Xenopus tropicalis: one gene and its partner. The protein of the gene in region 2 interacts with the protein of the main gene of each other region in a pairwise test. Links are inferred from orthologs where the notes say so. Each region holds a gene or a part of one and is shown on either strand. Other genes may lie near its edges. The genes, in order: nr4a2 and cdkn2d.

Region 1 (17,131 bases), on a different chromosome or scaffold from region 2:
AGGGGCCCCAATTTACTTCTTGATAGGACCCATGTGATCAGGTAATAATGGCAGCTGTGTGTGGGGGGAGGGCCTTGATAATTTAGTAGTATGGGTCCCCATTATTACTGATGGTGGCCCTATTGCACACTATGGCAAATACATTTTCTCACACTCCCAGGTGTGCCCTGTGGCAAACTGGGCTGGGCATATGCACAGTATAGTAATTTTTGGAAGCAGTACAGTAAAAAGTCAGCAATTCTGATAATGGGAGGGCTACTAACAAAATAGCACCCACAGCATAAGGTTTCTGCACCCTCCTCAAAAGCTGCTACTGTCTCTATTGTAACATGACTGCTGATACCAGCTCTAAGGGTGAAGACACACAGAGCAACTAGTAGCAGCTACTTGTTGTGGCTACTAAAACAGACAATGCTGATCATTTACTGATAATTGTCTGTACATGTGTTTTAGCAGAAGCAATTCTCAGTATTGTCTATGGCAGGGTATTTTCTGGCGTTTAGTAGCTGTGAAACAGTAGCTGCTACTAGTAGCTCTGTGTGTCTTCCCCGTAACAAGTACCCTAGGCATGGCAATAAATGGGCGTCATGCCAAAATGCCTAAACTACAGTTCCCAGAATCCCTCTCTGAATCCAATTTCCAAAGATTATGATGGGAGTTGCAGTTCGTTAGCAGCTGGCTGGGTGCAGGGTGGATATTTCTGTCGAACCTTATTATTGGTTGTATTTATATTTATATAGTGGGAACATGCTTAGCAGTGCTGCACTCCTATGCTAATCCCTCTCCCGTGCAGCACCCAGGAGAGTCGTACTCATCTGCTACGCCTGCGACCATTTGCACATTGAGATATTGCTGGGATAATTACACTGCCGCGGTGCCAGCATCAGAAGTGCTTAATTACACACACTCTTTGCATCACAATGGGTATTTTCAGAGTCCAAGGTTTTATCCTCTGGAAAGGAAGCAGTGGGTACATAGGCTATGGGGGTGCTAACATGCCCTTAATATAAAGGGGGTAAGCTGTGCATATTTACACCCAACAATAACAAATGCATATCATATAAACCCCGAAACTCCACTGCAGATGAGGCTAAGCATTAATGACCCCCCTCAGCATCTGCACTATATGTATTAACTCCGCAGCCCTGTACCGGCCAGAGGGAAACACGGAGAGAGTGCTGCAGCCTCCAAGTACTCCCTGATGATCCATTCTGTGCCCTTTGATCCTAGGTATTAATAACCCTAACTTTTTCTCATTTAGATGCCGGCGCTTTCTGTCGGAAACAGTGTTTCATACATCATAATTAGCAGCTAAATAGAGAAACGCACTCCTCTTTCCAAAGGCACGATACATGGCAGATAGAACTACGGATATATCTTCGGGGGGAGATATTGATTTTGGCTTAAGTTGTATATATGGCTTTGTATGGTGTGGCTGAGGCATAAATGGGGCTGCAAGAAAATAACCAGCGCATTAGTCTAAATGTTCACCTGTTGGCTGCCAGTCCCACGAGGATCTGGGCATCCATTTATTAACCTGGTCTTGCTCTGCAATTTCATATGTACTTTCTTAGCACATTCAACCCTTATGAAACAAAGTTCTTTCTGCCCTCCTGAACCACTGCGGGCAACTGAAAGAAGCGGAAAAGATGGGTTCAACAAGGGAAAGAGCAGCCATCTACACAGTGGGCAAATGCATCTTGCTTGCCATTGCTGTGGCCAGTAGTAGCTCTACATAGAAAGTAGCTGTAGCCATAGACACCAAGAGCCACTCAGTTGCCGGAAGAGGGACCGCATCTGTAGATCAATGTTGTCATCGTCTGATTGGAGTCATTAATCAGCCTTGTAGATATTAATGACCATGGTATTGAGGCAGACTCACCCAGCTCTATTGTGGCATACTAGAATAGTAAGAAATGATGGTATTAATAAGGTGAGTTATTAATAAGGCTGCCCAAAATGGTGGACTGAAACACTCATCATCCAAGACAGCCTTCCAGTGCAGCTCTGGCTAGGGTGGTGGGAATTTGGATCCCATTGTATCTATGGCTTCATAACACCCACAATGCAATGCTTTAGATAAATAGCAGTAATCCATGAGTGGGTCTGGGTGTCAATAAATGGTAAATAACAGGTGAGATATCATCATGAAACATATATGGATCAAATGTCACAATAAATTTAATTTTATTATAAGAATTCACCCCTGCCTTCTCCATTGCCCTTCTGGCACTTGACGGATATGAGATTAGCCATCTGACTTTCACTGGGGCAAGTGACAAAAGGTCTGCCATTGTCTCCAGTGTCTATGGAAAACATATGGTGCTCCCTCTCCAAAACACGGGAATCCAGGACAATATGCTCTTATAGATCTTGGCAAAAGCCAAACCTCAACCCGGTCACACAAGATAATTGGCCAGGTCCGTCACTGTCATTTGTACTGGCTGGCCACTGCCCACTGGGTGTGGCAAGGGTTGCCCCATCCCAGGAAAGACGTAACAATCTTTCATTCTGTTATTTTTCTCCTTCCTTACTGCTTCCTTAGTGACCCCCTTGGCTCAACCAATCTGATTGCATGGGAATTGCAACCAATTTATTTCACAAATTTATATTAACCTGTGTGCCTGGTGTTACCAGCTTGGGGGATGGTGAATGAGCAGAGGTTTCATTATGGGATCATTAGAAAACACCTAAGCAAACAGCCTCAAAACAATCTGGAAACACTCACTTCCTCTCCTCATGCTTGGCCTGCCTCTGTACACGTGCTACTCAATGTTCCGAAGGCAGAATACTGCTATATTAACTGTTTGCTGGCAGGCCCAGCGGCTGCCAGTGTCACAGTAGGAAAAATTCTTAAAAATACAGGGATGTTTAAATGCCAGCTGATGTTCAACTACAACTCTCTGTATCAAAAGGCTGTTGGTTGGGATTTTGAGAGCTACAGATTACCATGAGCTGCCTATTGGTTATCCTTAGATAGTCACTTAAATTGTCTTTCAAATGGTTTATACATATTTATTTACTCACACTATATATAGGGCAAGTAAATAAATATGAAATAATAAATGTGTATGTATGTATAACTTTATTGACAAAGCGCTACATGAATATGCAGCGCTGTACAATCTTACAATATATACAGCTACACACAGGGAGGACAAGTGTCATAATTAATAGAATAAATAAATATAAATACAGATACAAGTCAATACCTGTGGTATGAGACACAGTAGGAAGGAGGTCCCTGCCCCATTGAGCTTATATATGTATATATATGTATAGATATATATTTATATAATATAAAAAATAGTCCATAGGGTGCACACCATTTGCAGCAACAAAACCTGGGTGCTAGTACCAAAAAAATGCACTGGAACAAGGACAGCACTCCTAGGATTTAAAGAATTGTAAGCAAAATGTAAATGCAAAAATATTCACTAATGTGTAATATAGTAGTAATACAGTGATATAATAGAATATTTGAGATATATATATATATATATATATAAAGGGCAAGTAAATAAATATGAAATAATAAATATACATATATATATAGATATATCTATATATGGATATACATATATACACTAGGATTCACTAATGTGTAATATAGTAGTAATACAGTGATATAATAGTATATTTTTTTGGTATTTATTTTAAATCTGAACCATCATTTTGGGGGTTATTTTTTATACCCATTCAGCAGAGCATGTCAAGAGGGCACTTCCTTTTTAATGGCACAATTAAAGGCTATCACTTCACTAGCCTCCCAGAGAGCTGTCGGGAGCAAGGTCTGGTGCTGGTTTGTTTTATTCTGAATAACACAGCGTCTGCTCTATTAACACTACACAAAAAAGCCCGTGATCTGCCAATCCCAGCAGCAGGCAGGAATTAGACAGCTGGATCCACCGAGGGGGTAGGAGCTGCCACTTCTATTCCTACAGAGGAGGATTCCTGCCTGCTGCCTGCAGCTCAGAGGTCCTGGATGGGCTTAGCTCTTGGTAGGGGGAAAATCCAGGATATTATAAAGCCTTTTGTAGCAGAGAGATAAAACAGTGCAAGCTTGGAAGCCACACTAGAGATCATTCTGTCACCCACATGGCTAATTATAGGATACACGCTGCATATGTGTTTGGAAACGTTATGTAATTTTGCTGCTGGGTGACTCAAGCAAATGCAGTACATTAGAAGAAGGTTAGTGGCGTTAAATACACACATATTTCATAAATAAAATAATCCCTTTATTAGTGAAAGTTCTAAGCCAAACAGCCAACACCTCCCCGTGCCAATAACAACAGAAAGTTGCATATAGCTGGATTAAAGTCACCCTTGTCTATCATGGAGCCCCGGTACAGAGCCAGCTGCTGCAGCACCTCTTCAAGTCCAATCTGCAAAACCCTTCACCTTCTTCAGGAAATCTGCACCGCAGAAAACAGGAGTAGAATGTGTATTTCTGTTGTTTCCACTGAGGTCTATGCACTGCCACAAACTGACTCCCCCCCCCAGCCAGTCCACCTCCCCATGATTGGCACTTCCACTCCAGCCTACATAAACAAAGGAGGTGTGAGGGCTCCTGGATGCTTTAGCTGGGCCAGCCAGATTAATTTGTCACCCAGGGAAACAACGGAATGCCCCGCTGGGGGGGGTTAGGACACTGGAGTATGGTAAGGATTTTACACAGTGCCTGTGGAAAAAGATGTAATAATTAGGTATAGGGTGTATATGTGTATTTACTGTATAAAAACTGTCTGATTTCTAATTTTACTGTCTAACAAGACAGTAGTGGGGGGGGGGGGGGGGCAGGGGATAATAATTTATTATCATAAACAGCACACAGACCTACATAATTGGTGAACTAATTAAAGCTAGAAAAAGGGGGGCTTTGACAGTACAGGAAGGGTAAGGGGCCACTGTCTGGGGGTATTATATAAATCATGGATATCCAGAATACAACCCTTTCACTGTTTTTGATCTGCAACTCCAACCCTTAGGGTGAAGACACACAGAGCTACTAGTAGCAGCTACTTTTTCACAGCTACTAAATGCCAGAGAATACCCTGCCATAGGCAATATTGAGAATTGCTTCTGCTAAACACACGTAGGGACAATTATCAGCAAATGATCAGCACTGTCTATTTTAGTAGCCAAGTAGCTGCTGCTAGTAGCTCCATGTGTCTTCACCCCATGCAACTCTGCGTAGGATGTGAGAGATGCAGTTGAACACCTGCCCCAGGGCTGCAGGTTGGAGATCTATCAATATCAAAACTGTCTGATTTGTAATTTTAGTGGGGGGAAAGGCAGAGGGTTAATAATTTATTATCATAAACAACACACAAACCTACATAATTGGAGAACTAATTTAGAATAAAGGAGGCTTTGACAATACAGGACGGATAAGGGGCCACTGTCTGGGGGTATTATATAAATCATGGATGGGCAGAATACAACCCTTTCACTGTTTTTGATCTGCAACTCCAACCCTTAGGGTGAAGACACTACTAGTAGCAGCTACATTTTTACTGCTACTAAATGCTTGTAGATTGTAAGCTCTTTTGGGCAGGGCCCTCTTCACCTCCTGTATCGGTTACTGATTGCTTTATATGTTACTCTGTATGTCCAATGTATGGAACCCACTTATTGTACAGCACTGCGGAATATGTTGGCGCTTTATAAATAAATGTTAAAGGAACAGTAACACCAAAAAATGAAAGTGTATAAAAGTAACTAAAATATAATGTGCTGCTGCCCTGCACTGGTAAAAGTTGTGTGTTTACTTCAGAAAGTCTACTATAATTTATATAAATAAGCTGCTGTGTAGCCATGGGGGCAGCCATTCAAAGGAGAAAAGGCACAGGCACATAGCAGATAACAGATAAAACACTATTGTATTCTACAGAACTTCTGTTATCTGCTATGTAACCTGTGCCTTTTCTCCTTTTTCCCAGCTTGAATGGCTGCCCCCATGGCTACACAGCAGCTTATTATATAAATTATAGTAGTGTTACTGTAGCAAACACACCAGTTTTACCAGTGCAGGGCAACAGTGCATTATATTTATTACTTTAAAGCTTTTATTTTTTGGTGTTACTGTTCCTTTAATAATAATAATAATAATAATGCCAGAGAATACCCTGCCATAGGCAATATTGAGAACTGCTTCTGCACACAGAGACAGTTACCAGCAAACGATCAGCACTATTTTAGTAGCCACGACAAGTAGCTCCATGTGTCTTCACCCCATGCAATTGCATGTGGGATGTGAGAGATGCAGTTGAACAGCTGCCCCAGGGCTGCAGGTTGGGGATCTGTATCAATACAGTATTACTACCATTGAAATAAAGGTAAAGGGTAAACCCCTCCGCTCCCGACCATACAGGCGGCTCTGGGAGTGACAGTGACAACATGTGGCGGCTGAGTAGTGAGAGCGGCGGATTGTGTACATACAGTACATTCCCACACTCGCACTGTATACAGTATAAACACGCCGAGCAGCCGCTGCCCAGCTCCCCCTTACCCCCCCCCCCCAGTCTCTCACACCCGCATCTTCCACACGGGGGGTTACCCGGTTACCGGCTGTAGGAAGCCGCTATAGAAAGCGACGAGCGGACTCGCTGCTCCCACCTTAAAGGCTGCTGGCTGCGTGACGTCACGACGGAAATTTACCAAAGCCAACAGCGCGGAGCCCGGTCGGCGCTGATTGGCCGGGAGGCTGCTGACGTCGGGTGACGCTTGAGGCTTGTAGTGTATGATAGCGCTGGAATACTGAGCCCACATAAACAAAGGCACATTGGAGGGACCGTATCACTGCGCTCCGGCACTTACGGACATCAGCGCTCCGCTCAGGGGATGTGTACCCGCCTGCATGCATAGAGGCGCCGCTCCCACAGCACTGCAAGTAAGTGCCCGCCTGCCTGCAGCCTGCCCTCGGCTTCTCTTACTCCCTCTGCGCTTCCCTACCTGCCGCACACTTTATCCAATGCCATCTACTATGGGCACAGCTACTACTTATACCTACTTATTACATATATATATATATACACTCACATACATACATACACATACATACATACATACAACTTACCTTTAGTTATATACAACATTCATACATCCATTCATTATACCTTTGCGCCCAATGTAATGACTGCTTGCGTTGGAGAGGGCCTGGGGCTCTAACACTTTTTGGAAGGAGGAAAAAAAAGTTTGGCTGTGCAGCTTACTGCATTATTCTATTGTATCTGAGATAGGTGCTATAGGCTGTGGCTTGGAAGTACCAATCTCTATTGAGCAGGTGTATTGGGAAAAGCTTCTATATTTGGTATTTCCAAATGGTATTTCCGCTCAGCTGGTCAGGGGATATGGTCTGAATGAAGGGTATTTAATAAGCATATAGTTAGAATTAGATATTACTTTATACTATATATAGTGGCCAGACTGTCCCTTCATTCTGTACAATGGATATCAATACGAACCTATTATTTATATTTTATAATACACCTGTGTGCTTCTTTGCCTAATGCATTGCATGTGTTATTAATAACATTGTCCTATTCATGTATACTGTGCATACCCCCCCCCCAGCTGAGTTATTTTAGGTTACTGAACTAAAAAAATTGTTGCCTTATCTACTAGCCAGCCCATATCTAAGTCATGGCAATAAATCTGATTAATCAGATTTATATGAGGCCTTCTCAAGACACACCTGACGTTTATTCTTAGCCTGTCAAACTTTTAAGGCTTGTCGTGATATGCTGCCATTGATCTGCTGACCAGAGCTAAAAAAAAAAAAAAAAATTCTGCACACACCTTAAAGCAAGTGCTTGTGATTCAACAGAATGCCTTTCTGTGATTTACAGAATGAAAAGGCACAGAAGAAAAGTTAGTAATAGCTATTGTCCTGTACAGAATTCCCTTCACACCCCCGCTGCAGATTCCACGTTGTGGTTTTTACCCAGCTGAAATACTCATTTTTAAAAAGCCCCAGCGATGGCAGAATTAAACGTCTGTTTGTGGCTTGGCGATGTCACAATGGGCATTGTCGCAGCTATAAACCGACCAACTCGATTTCTCTTTCAGATAAACGTGCTGACAAGCTGGGTTCTTCTAAATCGAACGATTCTAATCTTGGAAAGTTTGTTCCGACAAGAAATACAACACTGTCCTCCTTTACCTACATCGAAAAACCCCACAGCCCGGCAGAAGGTTTGTCCCTTTATTTGTGGAGAGCAATTATATTGGCTAAAAGGGTAGTGGGTGGGGGGGGGGGGGCGATTAAATTGGGCAAGGGTAGTGTATGGGGTTATCGTTAATGGTAATCGTCTGTAAGGAATAATTACATAGGGAAGCGCTGAGATTTTGAGCAACAATTTCTAGGGCGATTGAAGTCCTGTTGGGTTACAGACCGGGGGTGTTCTCAGTGGGGTAGACGGCAAGAGGGGTACAATGGTGATGGGAAGTATCCAACTGAACAGTATGGGTATCTATTCAATTGTTTCATTTACAGCCATGCCCTGTGTTCAGGCTCAGTATGGGTCATCGCCTCAAGGAGCCAGCCCAGCTTCCCAGAGCTACACTTACCACTCTTCAGGAGAATACAGCTCCGATTTCTTAACTCCAGAGTTTGTCAAGTTTAGCATGGACCTCACCAACACTGAAATCACTGCCACCACTTCTCTCCCCAGCTTTAGTACCTTTATGGACAACTACAACACAAGTTACGACGTCAAGCCTCCTTGCTTGTACCAAATGCCCCTCTCCGGCCAGCAGTCTTCTGTAAAAGTGGAAGATATACAGATGCACGGCTACCAACAGCACGGCCACCTACCGCCCCAAAGCGAGGAGATGATGTCCCATTCAGGCTCAGTCTACTACAAACCTTCATCGCCCCCCACTTCCAGTACCCCCGGTTTCCCTGTCCAACACAGCCCAATGTGGGATAACCATGGCTCTCTGCACAGTTTCAATCAAAACTATGTGGCCACCAGAGGAGGTCATGTCCCCAGGCTTTCCTTGTTCTCTTTTAAACAGTCTCCACCTGGAACGCCTGTGTCTAGTTGCCAGATGCGGTTTGATGGCCACCATGTGTCTATGAACCCCGAAACCTCAGGAGCCCACCATGTAATAGACGGACAGACATTTGCAGTCCCCAATCCCATCAGAAAACAGGCATCTATGGGCTTCCCTGGGCTACAGCTTGGTCATGCGTCGCAACTAATAGACAGCCAGGTACCTTCACCGCCTTCTAGAGGGTCTCCATCAAACGAGGGTCTCTGTGCTGTTTGTGGGGACAACGCTGCTTGCCAACACTATGGAGTTCGTACATGTGAAGGATGTAAAGGGTTCTTCAAGGTAAGTACACAATTGCTTGAAGCCATCACGTTGGTGATGAGTTGGTGGGACTGTCCACCATGAACCCAACTGAGTTGGCTGCTGAGCTCCATGTAGGGTTGTTGATTTAATCATAGTGTTTGTTAAATTTTAAAATTCATACCCAGTGCCCCCTTCCTAGGCTTCAACTGGGCAAACTAGTCGCTCGATGGGACCTTTATTTTTCCATGCAATGTATTTGCATGTACTTTACCCAGCCTTCCCCTTCAGATAAATTGGTTAGGACAGAGAACCGTGTCTGAGCTAACCAAGTGGAACAGAATTCCCTATGGTGAAATTAAGTGATCTCTTTATTTCACCATCCTGATTGAATAATCTTATCATTGGAAATAGAGAATTCTCCAAGGGCTGTAAATAATATGAATGCCCACGGATTTGTATTTACTGAGCGCTTTCTCCTTTCTCCTCTTGGCATATAAAAAGCCAGCCAAGAGCTGCCAGGGACAGCTGAAATGTTAATGCTATCAATTTGCCTCTGTTAAATGCCATGCACAAAAAAAAAAAAAGAGAGACAGAAAAAAAAGATATAAATTCCAGACTTTTTATTTTATTCTCAGCTCTGTGACACTGGGTGTAAAAAGAATGTAACAAACGAGTCTAATTCCCTCTTCCTTTCCCTTACAGCGCACAGTGCAGAAAAATGCCAAATATGTTTGTTTAGCGAATAAGAACTGTCCGGTGGACAAAAGGCGTAGGAATAGATGTCAGTACTGCCGGTTCCAGAAGTGTCTGGTTGTCGGTATGGTCAAAGAAGGTAAATGTCGCGCTAATGCGTTATTCCCATGCACTGCGTAATGCCTATGTATTATAGTATTTATATCTGTATGTAATATGTTTGTGCATAGGTTTCTGTAAATAGCATAAGCTAATGACTTCTAATTGATATGGAGGTAGGGATGGAGCTACAAATTCCATCAGCCTTTGGGAGATGTAGATTAAAAAGAGCGGGAGGGCCGCGGTTTGGACATTGGAGATTCGCGGATTAGTAATAATCGATGGAAATGATTGTGATTGGTAGATAATATATCGATACCCTGAGAGGCTGTTAACTAGATAACATATAGGTGATAATATGTTTATGCATCATTGGGTTATTATATGTACATAGGCCGCCGGAGACAGTGATGATAGATAGATGATAGATAGATGATAGATAGATGATAGTAAAAAAAAAAAAGTAAAAGAGAGAAAAAGAGAGAGGTAACAGACGTACAGACTTCTGTCTGGATTTAAAAGACAGATCGATAGATAGATAGATGATAGATAGATAGATAGATAGATAGATAGATGATAGATAGATAGATAGATAGATAGATAGATAGATAGATAGGTAGGTAGATAGATAGATAGATAGATAGATAGATAGATGTTTAAGTAAAAGATAGATGCAGGGAGAGAGAAAAAGAGAGAGTTAACAGGCGCACAGACGTCTGTCTGGATTTAAAAGACAGATCGATAGATGATAGATAGATGATAGATAGATAGATAGATAAATTTAAAGAGACAGAAAAGCTAGCAGATATATTGCAATTGTACACACGTTATATGTTTATATGCCATACTGATTGCATGAATATGAGATTGTGTGGAACGTTATGCCACTCACTTTTATGCCACTGCGACTCTAACAAATCGTGCCGACATTAACACACACATACACCAAGAATCGTTACTAGTCCAAACTGTTTTCTGTAGGATTTTCGAGGCATACACTTTATACTTGAGTTTGGGCGCTGCTTAGACACAGTGGCCTTTTCCACCTTTTTGCGGAGCAGAGGCTGGCAGCCCCCACCGATCTCACACACACACTCAGATTTCCGTGCCAGCGACTGGCAGAGTCCCGGGTCCATGGCACGCAAGCTGGAGTCAAGGCTGCCTTTGTAATGAGGGAGAGTAACAATGAGAGGAAAGAATGTGAGTGGGAACTGAATCCTGAACACCCTGTTTCTTGTCTTCATTGCAGTGGTCCGCACAGACAGTTTAAAAGGTCGGAGGGGTCGCTTGCCATCTAAGCCCAAGAGTCCCCAGGAACCATCGCCCCCCAGTCCCCCAGTGAGTCTGATCAGTGCACTAGTGAGAGCCCACGTCGACTCCAATCCGGCAGTGAGCAGTCTGGACTATTCTAGGGTAAGTGGGGGCCTTGGCAAAAGGGAATTCTGTGGCTCTTGGTCAGTATTGGGGTACATGGTGGTGGAGCTCTTTGCCTGGGACCTGCGGATCTTGGGCTGCTCAGTCCATAGTGTGGAAGTGCATTCACTGTCTTGGGGGTTGCACTGCTGGGAAGCGCTATGTTCTATCTGGAATGGATGGTATCTGCAGGCCTTGAACTTCTCCGTTAGCAATAGTTGCACTTTTCCCTGCTTGGGAGCTGGTCTATGTGTAATGTTAGGACTTGGGAGCATGTTCTCTGCATGTCTGGGTCTTTTGTTGGAACTTGGGAGCACATTCCCTGCGTGGGTATAAGTTTGGGTGTAATGCTGGGACTGGGGAGCACACTGCCCTGCCTGGGAGTAAGTCTGGGTGTAATGCTGGGATTAGGGAGCCCACTGCCCTGCCTGGGAGTAAGTCTGGGTGTAATGCTGGGATTAGGGAGCCCACTGCCCTGCCTGGGAGTAAATCTGGGTGTAATGCTGGGACTGGGGAGCACACTGCCCTGCCTGGGAGTAAGTCTGGGTGTAATGCTGGGACTGGGGAGCACACTGCCCTGCCTGGGAGTAAATCTGGGTGTAATGCTGGGATTAGGGAGCACACTGCCCTGCCTGGGAGTAAGTCAGGGTGTAATGCTGGGATTAGGGAGCACACTGCCCTGCCTGGGAGTAAGTCTGGGGTTAATGCTGGGATTAGGGAGCAAATTCCCTGCCTGGGAGTAAGTCTGGGTGTTATGCTGGGACTGGGGAGCACACTGCCCTGCCTGGGAGTAAGTCTGGGTGTAGTGTTGGCACTGGGGAGCACACTTCCCTGCCTGGGAGTAAGTCTGGGTGTAATGCTGGGGTTAGGGAGCACACTGCCCTGCCTGGGAGTAAGTCTGGGTGTAATGCTGGGATTAGGGAGCAAATTCCCTGCCTGGGAGTAAATCTGGGTGTAATGCTGGGATTAGGGAGCACACTGCCCTGCCTGGGAGTAAGTCTGTGTGTAATGCTGGGATTAGGGAGCACACAGCCCTGCCTGGGAGTAAATCTGGGTGTAATGCTGGGATTAGGGAGCAAATTCCCTGCCTGGGAGTAAATCTGGGTGTAATGCTGGGATTAGGGAGCACACTGCCCTGCCTGGGAGTAAGTCTGGGTGTAATGCTGGGATTAGGGAGCACACTGCCCTGCCTGGGAGTAAGTCTGGGTGTAATGCTGGGACTTGGGAGCAAATTCCCTGCCTGGCAGCAAGTCTGGGTGTAGTGTTGGGATTAGGGAGCACATTGCTCTTTCTGGGAGTAAGTCTGGGTGTTATGCTGGGACTGGGGAGCACACTGCCCTGCCTGGGAGTAAGTCTGGGTGTAGTGTTGGGACTGGGGAGCACACTGTCCTGCCTGGGAGTAAGTCTGGGTGTAGTGTTGGCACTGGGGAGCACACTTCCCTGCCTGGGAGTAAGTCTGGGTGTAGTGTTGGGACTGGGGAGCAGATTCCCTGCCTGGGAGTAAGTCTGGGTGTAGTGTTGGGACTGGGGAGCACACTGTCCTGCCTGGGAGTAAGTCTGGGTGTAGTGTTGGGACTGGGGAGCAGATTCCCTGCCTGGGAGTAAGTCTGGGTGTAGTGTTGGGACTGGGGAGCACACTGCCCTGCCTGGGAGTAAGTCTAGGTGTAGTGTTGGGACTGGGGAGCACACAGCCCTGCCTGGGAGTAAGTCTGGGTGTAGTGTTGGGACTGGGGAGGACACTGCCCTGCCTGGGAGTAAGTCTGGGTGTAGTGTTGGGACTGGGGAGCAGATTCCCTGCCTGGGAGTAAGTCTGGGTGTAGTGTTGGGACTGGGGAGCAGATTCCCTGCCTGGGAGTAAGTCTGGGTGTAGTGTTGGGACTGGGGAGGACACTGCCCTGCCTGGGAGCAGTAGGTATAAGCACAGTGCGGGGGTGTGCGCTGCTTTGCGATGGAGTAAGTAAGGTGGGGGCGCTTCCCTGCCTCGAAGCTGCCAGATGCCACCCCCATAATGCTAAACTGATACAAACCAATGCATCCTGTACATCCCCCAAGGCATTATATCTTAGGGGGCAAACTGTGCTGAGCAAAGGTATAGCCACATAGCCAGTTAGCCACTCTCTTTTATGTAATCTTTATCGCCATTGCGCAAGGTTTTGCGCAGTATTAGGTATGCATGTATTATGCTTTATTTCCATGTGGACTTTGCTACGGTGTATTATTTGTGTAGTTTGCAGAATCTGCTACCCTTCTGCCTTTGCGCCTTACAAAATCAAGTGCTGCACTAATGGACGAGCTTTTTCCCTGTGTATGATTCCAATGTTAGCGCACAGCATGCACTGTACTTCGTACATGTCTTTGAGCCTTTATAGTATCAGTGACCCAATGGCGTTGTACTAATATTTCCTGTGCATCTGTCTCCTCACTGTTGCACTGTGCGCCTTATATCTCCCCACTGCCCAACGTACAACTAGTGCATTCTACATCACGACTTTACTGTTTACTTTCCGGCATTTACACGGGTCAGTGGACTAATTAATGTAAATGACATGTGATGAACCCTCTCTTACTCCTAGTATCAGTAATGCTCTTGCACAGGGCGTTGCTCTACAGTACATACATAGTACATACAGTGCAGCGCTAGGGGATATGCTGAGTATATTCCTTTCACTGTTCCTTTTGCAATTGGGTAAATCGAATCCACGATTTTGCAGCACCCTTCCCACCATCTATTCGTGCAACAATATTGTAAATTCCGATTAACTCTTAAAATCCCATTGACCCTTTCTGTGTACCCTTTCATCATACACTGGGAATCCTGCGCTAACAGTTATTTTCCTTGGAAATTCACACCTATTCCTACTTTCTGCCCAAGTGAATTTACACTAATAACTGGGTTTGCATTAACCCTTTCCGAACATGCCCGGTAGATCTGCCCAGGCCTGTGTGTGTGTCAGTCACCCCCTTCTGTTTAATTACAGGCAAAATCGTTGTAAATTCTACTTGCGTGTGTGGCATTAGAGATTTATAAAGCAAGCGCAGACCTTATGGCTCCATCCATGGCTGAGTTAATTGCAATGGGCACCTTATTTTCCTGCTGGTCACAGGCATTTTTAATTGTTCCCAAACAAATCTCTCTTGGTGTAACAAGGTTAGCAATTTCACGGGTTATATATTTTGGAAAACCTCATTAAGAATCTTCCCTCTCCATCTTTAGTTTCAGGCTAACCCAGAGTATCAGATGAATGGAGACGATACACAACACATCCAACAGTTTTATGATCTGCTGACCGGTTCCATGGAGATCATTAGAGGTTGGGCAGAGAAGATCCCAGGATTCTCTGAGCTGCACAAACAGGACCAAGACCTGCTCTTTGAGTCTGCTTTCCTGGAACTTTTTGTCTTGCGACTGGCATACAGGTAATTACCAGATTAGGGGCTTAATTGTTATATCTGCTCCCCTTCTTTCAAGGTCAATTGATTTGCATTTTATTGTCTCTGTAATAATTAGGAGGCATTTAAATGGACATTTATTCTTCCCACACTAATTAGTTTTTTTTTCTCCCCCCCCCCCCTCTCTTTATTAATTGCAGGTCTAACCCAGCAGAGGGTAAACTCATCTTCTGCAATGGGGTTGTACTCAACAGACTGCAGTGTGTTCGTGGTTTTGGAGAATGGATAGATTCCATCGTGGACTTTTCTTCCAACTTGCACAGCATGAACATAGATATATCAGCGTTCTCCTGTATTGCAGCCCTGGCCGTGATTACAGGTCAGTATCTGCGATCCAAACGCGTATTTTTAAGTTGCGCATTGCGCGATACGTGACGCGTTAACTATGTAATTAATAAAGAGTCATTCATGTTTGATATATAATTTTTTACAGAGAGACACGGATTGAAAGAACCAAAAAGAGTAGAAGAACTCCAGAATAAAATTGTAAACTGCCTCAAAGACCATGTGACTTTTAATAATGGGGGGTTAAATCGGCCCAATTACCTTTCCAAACTCTTAGGGAAACTGCCTGAACTTCGCACTTTGTGCACCCAAGGACTGCAACGCATATTCTACCTGAAGCTGGAAGACTTGGTACCTCCACCTGCCATCATTGACAAATTGTTTCTGGACACATTACCGTTTTAAAGACTGGTTTGATTAAACTCTAAAGAGAACATTACCTGGCTGTAGGACATGGTAACAGCTTCAGCTTGTGTGCCAAAAAATATGCCAGCGGACTACCCTGGCACCTCTGCCAATTGCTGAGGGATTCGGGGCACAGCAGCGGCTGGCATGGATTCACCAATAGGAACAAGACACTTCTTCCCAACTTATTTTTGTTTCTTTGTTTTTTGTTTGGTTATTACTTATCGGCTGCCATCAATCGTTTCTTTTTTCTCTAAATCGACGACTGCTGAATAACTACTAGCGCAAAGAAAAGAATTCATTGAGACAAAGTATTAAGGTGCCCACCCATACCACCCCCCCATTTCTGAAGGAGGGAGAGGGGAGTTGGGGGGGGGGCGACTGACAGTTTTCTGTTGTAAAAGAAAGCTTGTAATAAATTTGTTTAACTCTATGTTAAGTGGATGGCATGACAGAAGGCAAAGGCTTGTATATGTATAAGATACACAGTTTTAGCTATTTTTAATGATATTGTGCCTATTTATGAATAAATATTAAACCGATTCTAAAAGCTGTGTTTGCAAAACCAGATACAAAGAAATAAAATTAAATAAAAGAAAAAAAAAACCTAAAAAAAGAAGAAAAAAAAAAAAGAAAAAACAGTTATCTGACTGAAAGGGGAGCATGTTTATACCTACTAGGTCGGGGAAAGAAATGCTATAGGCAATTGCTATTTCAGTAATGTCTATATTATATAAATAGTATTCAGACACTATGTAGTCTGTTAGATTTTATAAAGAATTGGTAGTTAGGCGAGGTTCCCATTTTTCTCAGCTGTAATATACCCAGAACAGAGGGATTACATAGTGTTTGTAACACCGTCCAACATTCCTTGTTTGTAAGTGTTGTATGTACTGTTGATGTTGGGAAAAAAATGACAAAAAACTTTATATCTTGAATTATTTTCTTGTCCAAGGCGAAACTTGCATGCAGACTTGCTTCAAACGGTTTCCAGAGTGCACACATGCAACAACTGCCTGGAAATGACTGAGCACTTTGACATTTTTTTAATGTCTTAAATATGTCAGTTAATATATTATTTCATGTTTCAGTAAAATTTGTTATATTGCCATAACCTCTAGTATGTTTATTTTTTTTTGGTATCTCCTCGCATTAAAACAAAAGAAAATCAGAGCATTTTCCCTCTTATACCATTTTCAGCCTTCCTTTCTGCATTATTTTTAAACAAACAAACTAGGAACAAATCTGTAAAATCTTATTATATATAATGAGTTGTGTGTATATGAATTTAAAATTACAAATAATATCACAGCCCCATCCCAGGCACTTTCTCATACACTGAGCGCTGAAACATGGTTAGTTTTTAATCTATATATAGAGAATTTCTATCTGCAATACATTGTTGCTACTTTTAAAAGGTAATTAGTGACACACACACAACCTGGCAAGGTTTTCCAATGAGTTTCCTATAAGTAACCAC
Region 2 (16,775 bases):
CTATGATACACTTCAATTAACTGCAATATGTCCAAAGCACTAGTAATATTCCCGCGCGTTACTACAGTATATTAGGAAGAGACATCAGGGAGTGTGTTTTAGTAAATGTCTCTAAAGGCAAAGCTGTGGGGATGCCAAAGGGCACGACTGGGGTGCCACAGTGGCATAATAATAATAATAATGACAGATTGGGACTGGAAGGGAAGATGGCGCCAGTATAAAGCATCACTATAGCAGAAACATGGAATAGATGCAGAATTTTACTATTTTGTATGGTTCAGAGATGGCAGAATCCCATTACCTCCTTCATAAATAGGCAACTCCAACGGAAATCAAAGCACTAATAAATGTGACTCCTTCAAGCAGGGCCCTTTATATAAGTGCTGCCCAAGCTGTGGCCCTGGGGTGTCTGGGTAATATTTTGGGCAGTCACATGATCCCCGTCTGTGTTCTGTTGTCCCTAAAGCAGTGACAGAGGGGCTGACATTTGCCTCCCACACGGCCTGTAGGAATCTCTAATGAGCAGACTATGGCGGAATCAGCACATTGCAGAACGGCTCTATGTGGGAAGGAACACAGAAATTCTTTCTCTGCAGGGCCGCCTACCCACAACTACATTCCTCTGTGCCAGAATGGCATTTTACTTTTGCTGATACAGCAACAGAGGAATTGTACTGAGTTTTTATATAATGCAATTAACTTAATTGTACAGCAAGGTTACACAAGGCTAGGCGCAGAAACGAGCTGCGTATAGGGAAAAGGTGGGTACAAGTAAGAATTACAGGCGGTGTTATTATGGGGCTATATCATCCACAAGTGAGGAGTCAACTGGAGCGGTATAAAGGTGTTATACAAAGAGGGAATATGGGTAAATGAGGAGTTATGGGGAGGGGTTATATGGAGCAATAGGAGGAGTTATAGGGAGGGGTTATATGGAGCAATAGGAGCAGTTATAGGGAGGAGTTATATGGAGCAATAGGAGGAGTTATAGGGAGGGTTATATGGAGCAATAGGAGGAGTTATAGGGAGGGTTATATGGAGCAATAGGAGGAGTTATAGGGAGGGTTATATGGAGCAATAGGAGGAGTTATAGGGAGGGGTTATATGAAGCAATAGGAGGAGTTATAGTGAGGGATTATATGGAGCAATAGGGGGAGTTATAGGGAGGGGTTATATGGAGCAATAGGAGGAGTTATAGGGAGGGGTTATATGGAGCAATAGGAGGAGTTATAGGGAGAGGTTATATGGAGCAATAGGAGGAGTTATAGGGAGGGGTTATATGGAGCAATAGGGGGACTTATAGGGAGGGGTTATATGGACCAATAGGAGGAGTTATAGGGAGGGGTTATATGGAGCAATAGGAGGAGTTATGGGGGGTTATATGGAGCAATAGGAGGAGTTATATGGAGGGGTTATATTGTGCAATAGGAGTGGTTTAAGGAGAGTCATAGGAAAATCTTATTTGGGAAAGGTTGAGTTACATGTAGGGCTTATGTGAAGCAGAGACATAAAGGAGGTGGTTATAAAGACACTGGACCACCGTGCTTAAACAAAGGGGCATTTTTTTGCACTTCTGCCATTAAGGGCAAGGTACATTACAAAGTACAAAAACAGGGACAAAGCACTATTTTATTTTGCATCTTGTTCCACTGAAATTTCCTGGTTACACCGAGGCACACCTCTTTGTACTCCTAGAATAGAACACAAAGAGCTGCACCTGAGCGGCTGTGCTGTATACAGAAAGAGCACGGAGCAGCACTTGGGTGCCCCTGTAATGCCGCACAGTACAGTAATGCCTGTACCACTGAAAATGGGCCCAATTGTTTTTGTATTGGAAAATATGGAGCAATAAGGAGTAATTGGTTACCATTTTGGTTTTGATTTGTGAATCATATTTTGGGGCAGTTTGGACTGTACTGAAATCTAAAATAAATGCATTTGTAATTTAGAAACTTTCACTAAACATAAACATATAAAAGTATAAAGTAATTGCAGAAAGACAGGGACTTTCAAAGAGAGAAAAGAATTATTAAAAATAATAATAATAATAATTAAACATGACCTGAGTATTAAAATAAAAAAACTGCACGTAACCGGCCACATGTATGTAAATATGTACACAAAGAAGTGCTCATTAATGCATTGTTATTACCCTAAAACCAACAGCATTTAACCACTAGTAAATGTTCCCCTTCCCTGAAGGGTGCTGCAGTTGTTCCCAGCATTTATAAACTCCTGACAACATATAGGGCATTGGTACTATTGCAGCTCTCCGCAGTCAGTCATAAACATGCTAAACTATACAATAATACTGAGTAGCTACCCACTACTATGCATTGCACTAGGAAAAGAAACTGAGCACCATATCAAATTGTTCCCATGGCATGTTTGGACAACTTTGGGTATTTCCTCTATGTGCTGAGCTCAAATATGGAAGCCAGGCGAGGATCCAAGATGGCGGCCAACTGTGATGGCGTGTGCCCTTCCCGATCCCGATGCTGAAGGTCGGAGATAAGAGCAAGGTAGGTAATAACAGGGACGTGACCTGCTTTAAGGGCTAGGTGTATAGGTAGGGAGCCAGAGGCATCAGGTGTGTTGATCTCCGCTCCATGCTGGACCAAAACTTGTAAGGTGTCCAGGAATCCGCAACGGGCTGCATCATGAGCAGGGGTGGTGCCGTATGCATCTTGAATATTAGGAGAGGCACCTTGTTTCAAAAGCTCTGATGCAACAGGGGTGCTGCCAAACATCATGACCTAGAGAGAAAGAATGAGTGTGAAAAAGGGTTAAGCTTACAGAGGAAAGGAGAGCAAGAAGGAGGAGCAAAGGCAACAGAGGGGGGTATTAAATTATGTAAAAGAAAGGTCATATGGTTATGGGGAGAAGAGATTGTAAAAGGAATGTTAGAATAAAAAGGGAAGAAAGTAAAACAATAAATAAAAACAATTGCCTACAAAGTAAGAGAAAATAAATCATTCCGAGCTCACTTTACGAATACACAGATATTTACTGCAACACAGTGACACTGTACCCGTGCCTTAATTAACCCCTGGCTGCTGGGCGTGGGGCATAATTTGTTGTTCAGTCGCGCACACACCCTTAGTACAGGGAGTGGTCACCCAACAGAAGAGCACAAGCAAATAATAAGGAATGCCCCACCCTGCAGAAACCTTTCAACTTCACCGAGGACAAGGCAAATTTGGCACAGGCTTGCAAACACATATGGATTTACAGGGCCACTCAAGCTGAAACTCACGTTACTCTGGTGAAAAAGAACACTTTATACTAAGTCACAGTTTCTTTTGTATGAGGAACAATATCTGCAATGAAATGGAACTGCCTGTAAACTGCCAATGCTTTTATTCCAGCTGGATATCAGGTGGCCAGACTAGTGAATCTTTATCGGATTCACTAGCCCTCAGACTTACAGTTGGGCCTAGAGAGATCCACTGTTAGAGGATTGCATCTCTGTAACAACTAGGTCCTCGTCCTTCAATTCTGGTCAGGCAGGCTGTTGGGAAGGCCCCATCCATGGGTCAATAAGCTGACAATTTCTATCAGCCCATGTATGACCACATTACTTGGTAAGATCTGGTCGGCAAGCGAGCTAATCTTCTCCCGATATCCAGATGGCCAGTATTGGGCTAATTCAAGCATTTGGCACTGGGGCCAAACAACTGAATTAGAGCAGCAGGTATAGGCGCCCGTTGGTTCGGGGACCACATCAACGAGACAAAAAAATCAAACCTACCCGATTGAGATATGCCCGATTTCAGGCATATCGGGCATGCCCGTCGTTAGTGCCCATACACGGGCTGATATGCTGCCGAATCAGTCTAAAGGACGATACCGGCAGGTAGAATCGCCCATGTATGGCCACCTTAAGCCTTTATTAATAAAGACAGAACCAGCATCCTCAGCATATTTTGTTTTTCAAGCAAGATGTGCCAGATCCTTGTGCCTCTGGGACTGGGCTGCTTGTACTCTGCAAGTATTCAGTGCACCTATTCAGAGCTGTTATATTAAGTTACTTCTTAATTGCTTTTCCTACTTCATTCTGTGAGTCACTAGGAATATAAAAAGATGCAACCAGAGCTCAGCCTGCAAGGAGCAAATTCAGTAATGAAGTTAAATTGAGAGCTTCAGCTCTTCATAATCCATGTTAGGGGCCCTTAACCTGTTCTAAATCAGTTAAATCCCTCATAAGACAAATTCCCTATATAAAAGATGATTTCCCAGTATGTTGGGAAATGACCTTGTGTGGCCATACTTCTCTCTCTCACCTGCAGAGCAGTTTTGCCAAAGCGGTTTAGGCAGTCAGGGTGGATCCTCTCTTCATGGAGAAGCCTCTTCACTTCTAATAGGTCTCCCCTGGCAGCCGCTCGTGTCAGGCGGTCTCCGGCGCTGGTCTCTTGTAGCAACATGAGGGAGAGCTGCAAGATCAAAAAGGAAGAATGAAATAAACGAATCAAAAGAATGGGAAATTATCAGCAAACTATAAAGGAGTACTAACAGGATAGCAACCTACAGGTGGGTGATATCGGGCTAATTTGATCTGATATCAGGCTAATTCGATCGTTTGGCCCTAGGGCGGTGCCGCCAGCTCAGAGACCGTATCAACGAGCTGATGTGGTCCCCAATCCAACGGTAAAATCAAACCTGCCCTATCGAGATCTGGCTGATTTTAGCCCAGATGTCGGTCGGGGAGGCCCATCGGTGGTGTCCATACATGGGCAGATAAGCTGCTGAAATGGGTTTGACAATGCCCTGACACTTACAAGAAAGCTAAGATTCTGTGTGTTACTGACAGATAACTGACAGGTTACAATCAGGCATGTGAGAGACAGGCAATTACAGGCAGATAATAGACAGCTAGCCATGGCCTCATGGCCAAAAATCACCCAACTTGTGTGGGCACATGGAGTAAAGATCTGGCTGTTTGACAAGGGGCTTGCAACGTGTATGGCCACCTAAGCTGTCTCACCTGTCTGAATGGCTATTCAGACAGGTGAGACAGCTTAGGTGGCCATACACGTTGCAAGCCCCTTGTCAAACAGCCAGATCTTTACCCCATGTGCCCACACAAGTTGGGTGATTTTTGGCTAATTTGATTAATCTCCTCTAGCAGAGGCGACTGATTGCCTCAAATGCTTTCCTACCGATGAGAATGTAGATTACTCGTAGGAAAACGTGTGGCAACTTCGGGTGACTTCAGGAAGTCGAAGTGACATATGTTTTCCTACCGGCAATTTACATTTGATGAGATTAGTCGCCACTGCTAGAGTAGATGGAGCTACTAGTAGCAGCTACTTGTCACAGCTACTAAAATAGACAAAGCTGATCATTTATTCATAACTGTCTCTACGTGTGTTTTACCAGAGGCAATTCTCAGTGTTGTCTATGGCAGGGGATTTTCTGGCGTTTAGTAGCCTTGACAAGTAGCTGCTACTAAGTAGCTCAGTGTGTCTTCACACACAAGCTTCTGCTTCCTTTCTTCCATCTGCCCAAGTAAATCCACACATGCAAAGAAGCCATGTTCTATGAACACAACATACCAATTCCTTGTGCTTTACTATCTATTTAAAGGGGCTGTTCACCTTTGAGTTAACTTTTTGTATAATCAAAAGTGTCATATTCTGAGACAATTTGCAATTGGTCTTCATTTTTTCATTATTTGCATTTTTTTTTTAGTTATTACACTTTTTGTTCAGCAGCTCTTCAGTTTGGAGTTTAAGTGGTTTAAGTGAGAGACTGGTATATAAATAGGCGAGGATTTAAACGGAAAAGAAAGTTATTAACAATAACAATAAAACTGTAGCCTCACAGAGCAATAGATTTTTTGGCTGCCGGGGTCGGTGACCCCCATCTGAAAGCTGCAACGCGTTAGAAGATGAAGGCAAATAGTTTAAAAACTATAAAATAATAAATAATGAAGACCAATTCAAAAGTTGCTTAGAATAGGCCATTATATAACATACTAAATAAATGTTTACCACCCCTTTAAGAAAGAAGACCACAAATGATAAATAGGAGCATAATCTTAACCTCTCTCTTTGATTTGGCTGCACTTCATGTTGCCAGTAAACACACAGCACGACGACGGAGATAGAAGAGAAATACTACACCTTGTTGTTGTACCTTCATAACCTAGCAACACGCATATTTATAATCAATAACCTACACAGAGATACTAGTAGCAGCTACTAAAATAGACAATACTGATTATTTACTGATAATTATCGTGTGTTTCAGCAGAGGCAATTCTCTGTATTGTCTATGGCAGGGGATTTTCTGGCATTTAGTAGCTGTGAAAAAGTAGCTGCTACTAGGAGCTGTGTGTCTTCACCCTAAGGGTATTTTTTGAGCCCTAATTGTCACAGCTCCCACTGACACCCCCTATATCTTGACACGATATTGTAAAGAAAAACAAGGAAACAACTGCTGCACTTGAAGCAGTGACAAACAAGCAGACGGGGTGTAGAGAGCCCAACATGGGTCAGCGCCAAGTAATGCACAAACACACACACCTTGAAAAGATTCAAGTCTCTTTAGCACAGCTGTCACCTGTTAAGTAGCACCAAACCAATAACAAACAGAGGCTGAAGATAGTATGTGAGCTTATTGTTTGGATGAGTCACTAGTTACCAGTACTGGCCAATTTGGCCACTAGTCTCTGTATCCAACCTGGCCAGTCATCAGCCTATTTACCTGTGGGATCAAACAGGCCCTGAAGTTGGCCTATAAGTGCGTCTCTGTGGCTGAATAATAAGCAATAAAGTACATAAATACATAACCAGCTCATGAGACCAGACAGAGAATGTTTTCACTGGGTTTTAAGGTGCCCATACACGTTAAGATCCACTCGCTTGGTGAGGTCGCCAAGGGAGCTGATCTTCTCGCGATATCCCCATCTACGGGTGGGTGATATCGGGTGAATTCAGGCTAATTCGAATTAGAATGCCGGTAATAGGTGCAATCGGTTCGGGGACCACATCAACGAGCCAATGCGGTCCCTGATCCGACTGAATTTTTTAACCCAATCGATATATCTGCCCGATTTCAGGCCAGATGTCGGTCGGCATGCCTGTCGTTTGTGCCCCTAAACGTGTATGGTTAGGCACAGATCTAAGGAAACGAGGAGGCTCTGTTACCACAAAAAGATAATTAAGTGACAGTTACCTGAAACAATGAAACACAATGAATCTACCAACATTCAGTTGCAAAAAGTAACAGAAGAAATGTGCTCAATATAGTCATAATACCTACTTGACATACAGAATAGCAACACCAAGGGACACTCTATTATCTTACATCAGGCAGTGCACTGAGTGCCAAGCCAAGATGCTCAGAATCAATCTAAGATAGCATCAAATGCTCCACCCTGGCCTACTTTCAGGCTTAGAGCTCTAATGTCAGCCCAAAGTAAAAAGCTCTGCTCCGATGGGACCTTACTAACTAACCTTGCAAGTACCGCTATAGCTCTACATGTATAGGCCTACGATACATTGAGAGCACAGAAGGGGCAACAAACAGAGCAAATATATATATATATCTTGATAAAGGTCTTAGGTGGAGACCGAAACGTTGATCTGTTTTATCAGTATGATACAATAAAAGTCATGTTTTATATTTAAAACCCTGGTGTGCACCTTATACTTCTGGATTTGTGGATAATTGGATACACGGAGGTAGCACCTAGGTAATTTGCATTTATATGTTTGGTGTGCTGAAACTCTTTTGGACTGTATATATATATATATATATATATATATATATATACAGATACAGTTAAAATGATTAGGTGGTATGAGAAACAGGAGGAAGAAGCATAGAATATCAGCATGGCAGCATAAGGAGGTACAAGTGGAGAGAGGTAGTGAGATCCTTTGGCTAATGAGGAGCCATGATACAACATTAATGTGTGGAAAGGTGGGTTCTTTCTTAAGTCAGAGCAAGAGAATTCAAGAAGAGGAACGGACGGCTGAAAGGGTTAAAGGTAGGAGTCTGGGAGCCATTTAGGTTCCAGTAGTCTTACAGCAGCCCCTCTGGCATTTGCCTGAACCCACAGATTGCCAGTCCGGGCCTGATTTTCAGTACACAGAGGCCCAAACAGCCCCCCCATAGGCCCAATAAATAGTGTGTGTCTATGGCACCTTACAGCAGCCCCTCTGGCATTTGCCTGAACCCACAGATTGCCAGTCCGGGCCTGATTTTCAGTACACAGAGGCCCAAACAGCCCCCCCAGCAGCCCAATAAATAGTGAGTGTCTATGGCATCTTACAGCAGCCCCTCTGGCATTTGCCTGAACCCACAGATTTCCAGTCCGGGCCTGATTTTCAGTACACAGAGGCCCAAACAGCCCCCCCATAGGCCCAATAAATAGTGAGTGTCTATGGCACCTTACAGCAGCCCCTCAGGCATTTGCCAGAACCCACAGATTGCCAGTCCGGGCCTGATTTTCAGTACCCAGAGGCCCAAACAGCCCCCCCATAGGCCCAATAAATAGTGACTGTCTATGGCACCTTACAGCAGCCCCTCTGGCATTTGCCTGAACCCACAGATTGCCAGTCCGGGCCTGATTTTCAGTACACAGAGGCCCAAACAGCCCCCCATAGGCCCAATAAATAGTGAGTGTCTATGGCACCTTACAGCAGCCCCTCTGGCATTTGCTTGAACCCACAGACCAAGGCCTGGATAGGATACAGGCACGCAGGAAGGAAACAGTGACGGGCTGTGAGATGGGAATAATATAATCACAGAGGGAAAGCAGAGAGTGAAGGTTCCCCCGGGACACTGTGCCAAATCAGCAGGGTTACAGAGAGTGTCGCCAGGAATAATCACTAAAGCGGAACTAGGGCCAAGTTTTGGTAACTGAGATGCCACACAGCTTTTTTCATACCACTGGCTACTCTCAATATCCTGTGACAGGTACATACAGTGGGACATGTAAGTGACAGGGAGAGGCAGTGGGGTGTGGGTGGCAGGAGAATACAGGGGGGTGTCAGTAACGGGGCAGGTAGAGGGGGATGTCAGTAACGGGGCAGGTAGAGGGGGATGTCAGTAACGGGGCAGGTAGAGGGGGATGTCAGTAACGGGGCAGGTAGAGGGGGATGTCAGTAACGGGGCAGGTAGAGGGGGATGTCAGTAACGGGGCAGGTAGAGGGGGATGTCAGTAACGGGGCAGGTAGAGGGGGATGTCAGTAACGGGGCAGGTAGAGGCGGGGGATGTCAGTAACGGGGCAGGTACAGGGGGATGTCAGTAACGGGGCAGGTACAGGGGGATGTCAGTAACGGGGCAGGTAGAGGCGGGGGATGTCAGTAACGGGGCAGGTACAGGGGGATGTCAGAGAGAAGAAATACAATGAGATATCAGTGATAGGATACAGTAGGATTTCTGTGATGGGGATTTAGTGAAAGGGACACAGAATAAGATGTCACAGACGGGGGGGCACAGTGACACAGAATAAGATGTGAGTGACAGGGGATACAGGGAGGGGTCAGTGACAGGGGGATACAGGGAGGGGTCGGTGACAGGGGGATACAGGGAGGGGTCGGTGACAGGGGGATACAAGGAGGGACAGGGGGATACAGGGAGGGGTCGGGGACAGGGGGATACAGGGAGGGGACAGGGGATACAGGGAGGGGTCGGTGACAGGGGGATACAGGGAGGGGTCGGTGACAGGGGGATACAGGGAGGGGTCGGTGACAGGGGGATACAGGGAGGGGACAGGGGGATACAGGGAGGGGACAGGGGGATACAGGGAGGGGTCGGGGACAGGGGGATACAGGGAGGGGTCGGGGACAGGGGGATACAGGGAGGGGACAGGGGGATACAGGGAGGGGTTGGTGACAGGGGGATACAGGGAGGGGACAGGGGGATACAGGGAGGGGTTGGTGACAGGGGGATACAGGGAGGGGACAGGGGGATACAGGGAGGGGACAGGGGGATACAGGGAGGGGGTTGGGTGACAGGGGGATACAGGGAGGGGACAGGGGGGATACAGGGAGGGGACAGGGGGGATACAGGGAGGGGACAGGGGACAGGGGGGACGGGGGATACAGGGAGGGGTCGGGGGGATACAGGGAGGGGTCGGGGGATACAGGGAGGGGACAGGGGATTACAGGGAGGGGTTGGTGACAGGGGGATACAGGGAGGGGACAGGGGATACAGGGAGGGGTTGGTGACAGGGGGATACAGGGAGGGGACAGGGGATACAGGGAGGGGTCGGGGGGATTACAGGGAGGGGTCGGGGACAGGGGGATACAGGGAGGGGACAGGGGATACAGGGAGGGGTCGGGGGGATACAGGGAGGGGTTGGTGACAGGGGGATCCAGGGAGGGGACAGGGGGATACAGGGAGGGGACAGGGGGATACAGGGAGGGGACAGGGGGATACAGGGAGGGGTTGGTGACAGGGGGATACAGGGAGGGGACAGGGGGATACAGGGAGGGGACGGGGGGATACAGGGAGGGGACGGGGGGATACAGGGAGGGGACGGGGGGATACAGGGAGGGGTTGGTGACAGGGGGATACAGGGAGGGGACAGGGGGATACAGGGAGGGGACAGGGGGATACAGGGAGGGGTTGGTGACAGGGGATACAGGGAGGGGTTGGTGACAGGGGATACAGGGAGGGGACAGGGGGATACAGGGAGGGGTTGGTGACAGGGGGATACAGGGAGGGGACAGGGGGATACAGGGAGGGGACGGGGGGATACAGGGAGGGGACGGGGGGATACAGGGAGGGGACGGGGGGATACAGGGAGGGGACGGGGGGATACAGGAGGGGTCGGGGACAGGGGGATACAGGGAGGGGTCGGGGGGATACAGGGAGGGGTCGGGGGATACAGGGAGGGGTCGGGGGGATACAGGGAGGGGACAGGGGGATACAGGGAGGGGTCGGGGACAGGGGGATACAGGGAGGGGACAGGGGGATACAGGGAGGGGTCGGGGACAGGGGGATACAGGGAGGGGACAGGGGGATACAGGGAGGGGTCGGGGGGATACAGGGAGGGTCGGGGGGATACAGGGAGGGGTCGGGGGGAGGGAGAATACAAAGTGATAGAAGTCAATGGCAGTCACAACACGGAGAAGGAGGGCCGCGCCAGTTCGGTGCCAGTCAGGGGAACGTTCCCCAGACACACACAGAGCGGCTTCCGTTACTGTTGCAGCCGGTGACAGATGATGTTGCTGCTCCCCAGCCGGCTCCCCCTGCCACACACAGAGCCCCCACCTTACCCACCTTATATACCCGCCTTCCCGCGCTGACACAGGTGCTGAACACGTGACCCGCTGCCCGGCAGGTGAGAGACGCGCAGTCAGAACCTTCAACGGGCGCAGTCCGAGTCGCGGCGGATCGCAGCCTGTCGCTTGTTTTCGGCCTCTGACGTCACCGCCCCACGTGGTACGCGTGTTATTTTTTTTAAAAAAGGCAACTGTTGTGCCGTCGTCTCTTTGTGCCCATTGGTTTTGCCGGACGCCGAGGCCCCGCCTCCTTGGCCATTCCAGCCAATAGAAATGACAGCTGCCAGAGGGGCTCGCCGTTGCTAGGCGGTAACCCGCAGACTGACGCAGAGTATGCAACCAATAGAAAAAAAAAGAGAGGAATGGGTGGGTCTTGAGAGAAATTTTAAAAAGGAGGGGCGGGGCTACTAGCGGTTCTGTGTGTGAGGTGAGGGGGTCAGGCTGGAGTCAGCAGTACGGTAACCTTAGCTTCACCTCCGGCGGGACGTGCTGTTTGTGTTTAAATGCAGCCTCTGCTTCCTATAGGCAGCCTGTACCGTCCCATGGGGTGAGTGTCAGTGTGAGTGTGTCAGTGTGAGTGTGTCAGTGTGAGTGTGTCAGTGTGAGTGTGTCAGTGTGAGTGTGTCAGTGTGTGAGTGTGAGTGTGTCAGTGTGTGAGTGTGTCAGTGTGTGAGTGTGTCAGTGTGTGAGTGTGTCAGTGTGAGTGTGTCAGTGTGAGTGTGTCAGTGTGAGTGTGTCAGTGTGTGTGAGTGTCAGTGTGTGTGAGTGTCAGTGTGTGTGAGTGTCAGTGTGTGTGAGTGTCAGTGTGTGTGAGTGTCAGTGTGTGTGAGTGTCAGTGTGTGTGAGTGTGTCAGTGTGTGTGAGTGTGTCAGTGTGAGTGTGTCAGTGTGAGTGTGTCAGTGTGTGTGAGTGTCAGTGTGTGTGAGTGTGTCAGTGTGTGTGAGTGTGTCAGTGTGAGTGTGTCAGTGTGTGTGAGTGTCAGTGTGTGTGAGTGTGTCAGTGTGTGTGAGTGTGTCAGTGTGAGTGTGTCAGTGTGTGTGAGTGTCAGTGTGTGTGAGTGTGTCAGTGTGTGTGAGTGTGTCAGTGTGTGTGAGTGTCAGTGTGTGTGAGTGTCAGTGTGTGTGAGTGTCAGTGTGTGTGAGTGTCAGTGGTGTGTGAGTGTCAGTGTGTGTGAGTGTCAGTGTGTTGTGAGTGTCAGTGTGTGTGAGTGTCAGTGTGTGTGAGTGTCAGTGTGAGTGTCAGTGTGTGTGAGTGTCAGTGTGTGTGAGTGTCAGTGTGTGTGAGTGTCAGTGTGTGTGAGTGTCAGTGTGTGTGAGTGTCAGTGTGTGTGAGTGTCAGTGTGTGTGAGTGTCAGTGTGTGTGAGTGTCAGTGTGTGTGAGTGTCAGTGTGTGTGAGTGTCAGTGTGTGTGAGTGTCAGTGTGTGTGAGTGTCAGTGTGTGTGAGTGTCAGTGTGTGTGAGTGTCAGTGTGTGTGAGTGTCAGTGTGTGTGAGTGTCAGTGTGTGTGAGTGTCAGTGTGTGTGAGTGTCAGTGTGTGTGAGTGTCAGTGTGTGTGAGTGTCAGTGTGTGTGAGTGTCAGTGTGTGTGAGTGTCAGTGTGTGTGAGTGTGTGTGTGAGTGTGTGTGTGAGTGTGTGTGTGAGTGTGTGTGTGAGTGTGTGTGTGAGTGTGTGTGTGAGTGTGTGTGTGAGTGTGAGTGTGAGTGTGTGTGTGTGTGTGTGTGTGTGTGTGTGTGTGTGGTGTGTGTGTATACAGGGAATACTACATGGCAGCTCCCTCAGCGCAGACACAGCCAACAGGGCAAGATGGAGGCAGAGATGCTTTATGTTAGTAACCTAGTCTCCTCTCCCATGTATAGCGCAAGGGCATCAGGGATACTGGGAGCTGCTGTTAAACAGTACGTTTGGCCCCATTGCCCTCAATCTAAAGCTGCCCATACACCTACTGATAAAGTTGCATGAAACTTGGGCCGGTGTGTGGGCTCTGAATGGCCGATCGCTCGTTTAGCTGATACCGCAGGTTATAGAATTCCCATCTGATAAGGATAAAATCTCCGTGTGTATCTGATTATATCCTTGGGGGCCATTAATGGGAGTCATTTTCGTACGGTCGGTGTCTGCCAACTAATTCATGTTCCGAACATCCTCCCATTTGTTATTCTTTATCAGGGTCAGACTGGGGGTGTCCCTGCCGGCCACTTCCCCCACAGAGCCTCCCTAACTCCCATCCACAGGGGCCCCCACAGAGCCTCCCTAACTCCCATCCTCAGGGGCCCCCACAGAGCCTCCCTAACCCCCATCCACAGGGGCCCCCACAGAGCCTCCCTAACCCCCATCCACAGGGGCCCCCACAGAGCCTCCCTAACTCCCATCCACAGGGGCCCCCACAGAGCCTCCCTAACCCCCATCCACAGGGGCCCCCACAGAGCCTCCCTAACCCCCATCCTCAGGGGCCCCCACAGAGCCTCCCTAACTCCTATCCGTAGGGGCCCCCACAGAGCCTCCCTAACTCCCATCCGTAGGGGCCCCCACAGAGCCTCCCTAACTCCCATCCTCAGGGGCCCCCACAGAGCCTCCCTAACTCCCATCCGTAGGGGCCCCCACAGAGCCTCCCTAACTCCCATCCGTAGGGGCCCCCACAGAGCCTCCCTAACTCCCATCCTCAGGGGCCCCCACAGAGCCTCCCTAACCCCCATCCGCAGGGGCCCCCACAGAGCCTCCCTAACCCCCATCATCAGGGGCCCCCACAGAGCCTCCCTAACCCCCATCCGCAGGGGCCCCCACAGAGCCTCCCTAACCCCCATCCGCAGGGGCCCCCACAGAGCCTCCCTAACCCCCATCCGTATCTGATTATATCCTTGGGGGCCATTAATGGGAGTCACTTTCGTACGGTCGGTGTCTGCCAACTAATTCATGTTCCGAACATCCTCCCATTTGTTATTCTTTATCAGGGTCAGACTGGGGGTGTCCCTGCCGGCCACTTCCCCCACAGAGCCTCCCTAACTCCCATCCACAGGGGCCCCCACAGAGCCTCCCTAACCCCCATCCTCAGGGGCCCCCACAGAGCCTCCCTAACCCCCATCCACAGGGGCCCCCACAGAGCCTCCCTAACCCCCATCCTCAGGGGCCCCCACAGAGCCTCCCTAACTCCTATCCGTAGGGGCCCCCACAGAGCCTCCCTAACTCCCATCCGTAGGGGCCCCCACAGAGCCTCCCTAACCCCCATCCTCAGGGGCCCCCACAGAGCCTCCCTAACTCCCATCCGTAGGGGCCCCCACAGAGCCTCCCTAACTCCCATCCTCAGGGGCCCCCACAGAGCCTCCCTAACCCCCATCCTCAGGGGCCCCCACAGAGCCTCCCTAACCCCCATCCGCAGGGGCCCCCACAGAGCCTCCCTAACCCCCATCCTCAGGGGCCCCCACAGAGCCTCCCTAACCCCCATCCGCAGGGGCCCCCACAGAGCCTCCCTAACCCCCATCCGCAGGGGCCCCCACAGAGCCTCCCTAACCCCCATCCGCAGGGGCCCCCACAGAGCCTCCCTAACCCCCATCCGCAGGGGCCCCCACAGAGCCTCCCTAACCCCCATCCTCAGGGGCCCCCACAGAGCCTCCCTAACTCCCATCCGTAGGGGCCCCCACAGAGCCTCCCTAACCCCCATCCGCAGGGGCCCCCACAGAGCCTCCCTAACCCCCATCCGCAGGGGCCCCCACAGAGCCTCCCTAACCCCCATCCGCAGGGGCCCCCACAGAGCCTCCCTAACCCCCATCCGCAGGGGCCCCCACAGAGCCTCCCTAACCCCCATCCTCAGGGGCCCCCACAGAGCCTCCCTAACTCCCATCCGTAGGGGCCCCCACAGAGCCTCCCTAACTCCCATCCACAGGGGCCCCCACAGAGCCTCCCTAACCCCCATCCTCAGGGGCCCCCACAGAGTCTCCCTAACCCCCATCCTCAGGGGCCCCCACAGAGTCTCCCTTACCCCCCCAGGCACCCCCACCCGACGTCCTCTCCTGAGCGCGTATAAGTTTAACGCATCAGGGCAGGAACGCTCGGCCGGGGGGGGGGCGGCAAGGGTAGGGACCCACCGGGTGTTTTCCTGGCGGCCCAGTTCGACCCTGGGCTTTATCCTGCAATTTCAGTCTGAATGTGAGTGTTAGATCATTGCATTTGTGTATGGGCAGCTTAAAGCATTTATAGCAGGGTTGCTGGGAGTTGCTGTATGTATGTATGTATATATGTATGTATGTATGCATGTATGTCTTTATTTATAAAGTGCTACTTATGTACGCAGCGCTGTACAGTAGAATCCATTAATACAAACAGGGGGTTAAGATAATAATAGATAAATACAAAGTATAACAATAAATACAGATAAATACAAGGTACAGTTGCAATAAGAGTTAAAGACACAAGAGGAAGGAGGTCCCTGCCCCGTAGAGCTTACAATCTATATGTTTGACATCTGTTTAACCCCATGGCTTGGCAACTTATCTAAAGCGACAGTGACTCTGCCAATACAGTTGCCCTGTGCCCCTTGGCTTCGTACTATCAGGGCTGCCCTGTTGTCCCTCTTCATCGGATTTATCTGCCATTATCTGTATTTTCAGCATGAGTCACGCCAGTTGTTGTTTGGATTCGCGGCACGGGGTCAAAGAGTCAGCGCACACGGAACATGACAGACGACTAGATGCCATCTCATTCTCTCCAGTCACACCCAATTTTTTAAATTCTCATGGAGTCACAGCAGGTGAGCCCCGACCTCAGACATCTCAGTCTCACATCTGTTGTTGGTTTGTTACAACCCCCCCCCCATTATACAAGATCTCTGCCGTTGGACTAGAAATGTTCTACTCTATACATGGCCTTACCGTAAAGTTTATAGGAATTCTATTGTGCATGTTAAATTTAACATGTAGGATGAAGCCACACAGAGCTACTTAGTAGCAGCTACTTGTCACGGCTACTAAACGCCAGAAAATACCCTGCCATAAAGAATACTGAGAATTGCCTCTGCTAAAACACACATAGAAACCATTATCAGTAAATGATGAGTATTGTCTGTTTTTGTAGCTGTGACAAGTAGCTGCTACTAGTAGCTCCATCTCTTTAGGGCAGTGGTACACGGGGAGATTAGTCGCCCGAAGCTTCCTCTTAAGACAACTTTGGCGACTACGGGATATCACAGCAACCTGTATGCCATCCCACCAGGGATTTACATTCTAGCCGGAGGGATGGCATTGCTGGGAGATTAGTCGCCCGCGACAACGAAGATTTGTTCTGGGGTGACTAATCTCCCTGTTAACCACTTACCCTTCCTATGACTAAGACATTTATATTCTGAGACAATTTGCAATTGGTTTCCATTTTGTTTTCTGGTTGCTAGGGTCTTGTTTACCTTAGCAACCAGGTAGTGGGTTGAATGAGAGACTGGAACATGCCTTTCTGTTCTGTATGGTATAATTGGTTGTTTCACAGTGGTACAGATTTACATTCTATAGGAGGGGCCCCTCTCTAACTGCGGCTTTATTGTGTTTTTAT

The links.
Region 1: the proteins of cdkn2d (region 2) and nr4a2 interact in binary tests that used the Homo sapiens proteins (3 or more experiments, as listed by UniProt). The two-hybrid records come from large-scale screens. The link is inferred for Xenopus tropicalis from reciprocal best matches to the Homo sapiens genes CDKN2D and NR4A2.

The regions. Positions count from the first base shown.
Region 1 is NC_030685.2:74,477,334-74,494,464, forward strand, and holds nr4a2 (nuclear receptor subfamily 4 group A member 2), read left to right. Parts: upstream 1-6,853; 5' UTR 6,854-6,895; intron 6,896-8,073; 5' UTR 8,074-8,199; intron 8,200-8,500; 5' UTR 8,501-8,502; coding exon 8,503-9,345; intron 9,346-10,008; coding exon 10,009-10,138; intron 10,139-11,347; coding exon 11,348-11,511; intron 11,512-14,725; coding exon 14,726-14,928; intron 14,929-15,101; coding exon 15,102-15,280; intron 15,281-15,394; coding exon 15,395-15,651; 3' UTR 15,652-16,761; downstream 16,762-17,131. UniProt on the Homo sapiens protein: Transcriptional regulator which is important for the differentiation and maintenance of meso-diencephalic dopaminergic (mdDA) neurons during development.
Region 2 is NC_030679.2:138,201,147-138,217,921, forward strand, and holds the start of cdkn2d (cyclin-dependent kinase 4 inhibitor D), read right to left. Parts: upstream 11,471-16,775; 5' UTR 11,243-11,470; intron 4,434-11,242; 5' UTR 4,425-4,433; coding exon 4,284-4,424; intron 2,757-4,283; coding exon 2,412-2,756; 3' UTR 1-2,411. UniProt on the Homo sapiens protein: Interacts strongly with CDK4 and CDK6 and inhibits them.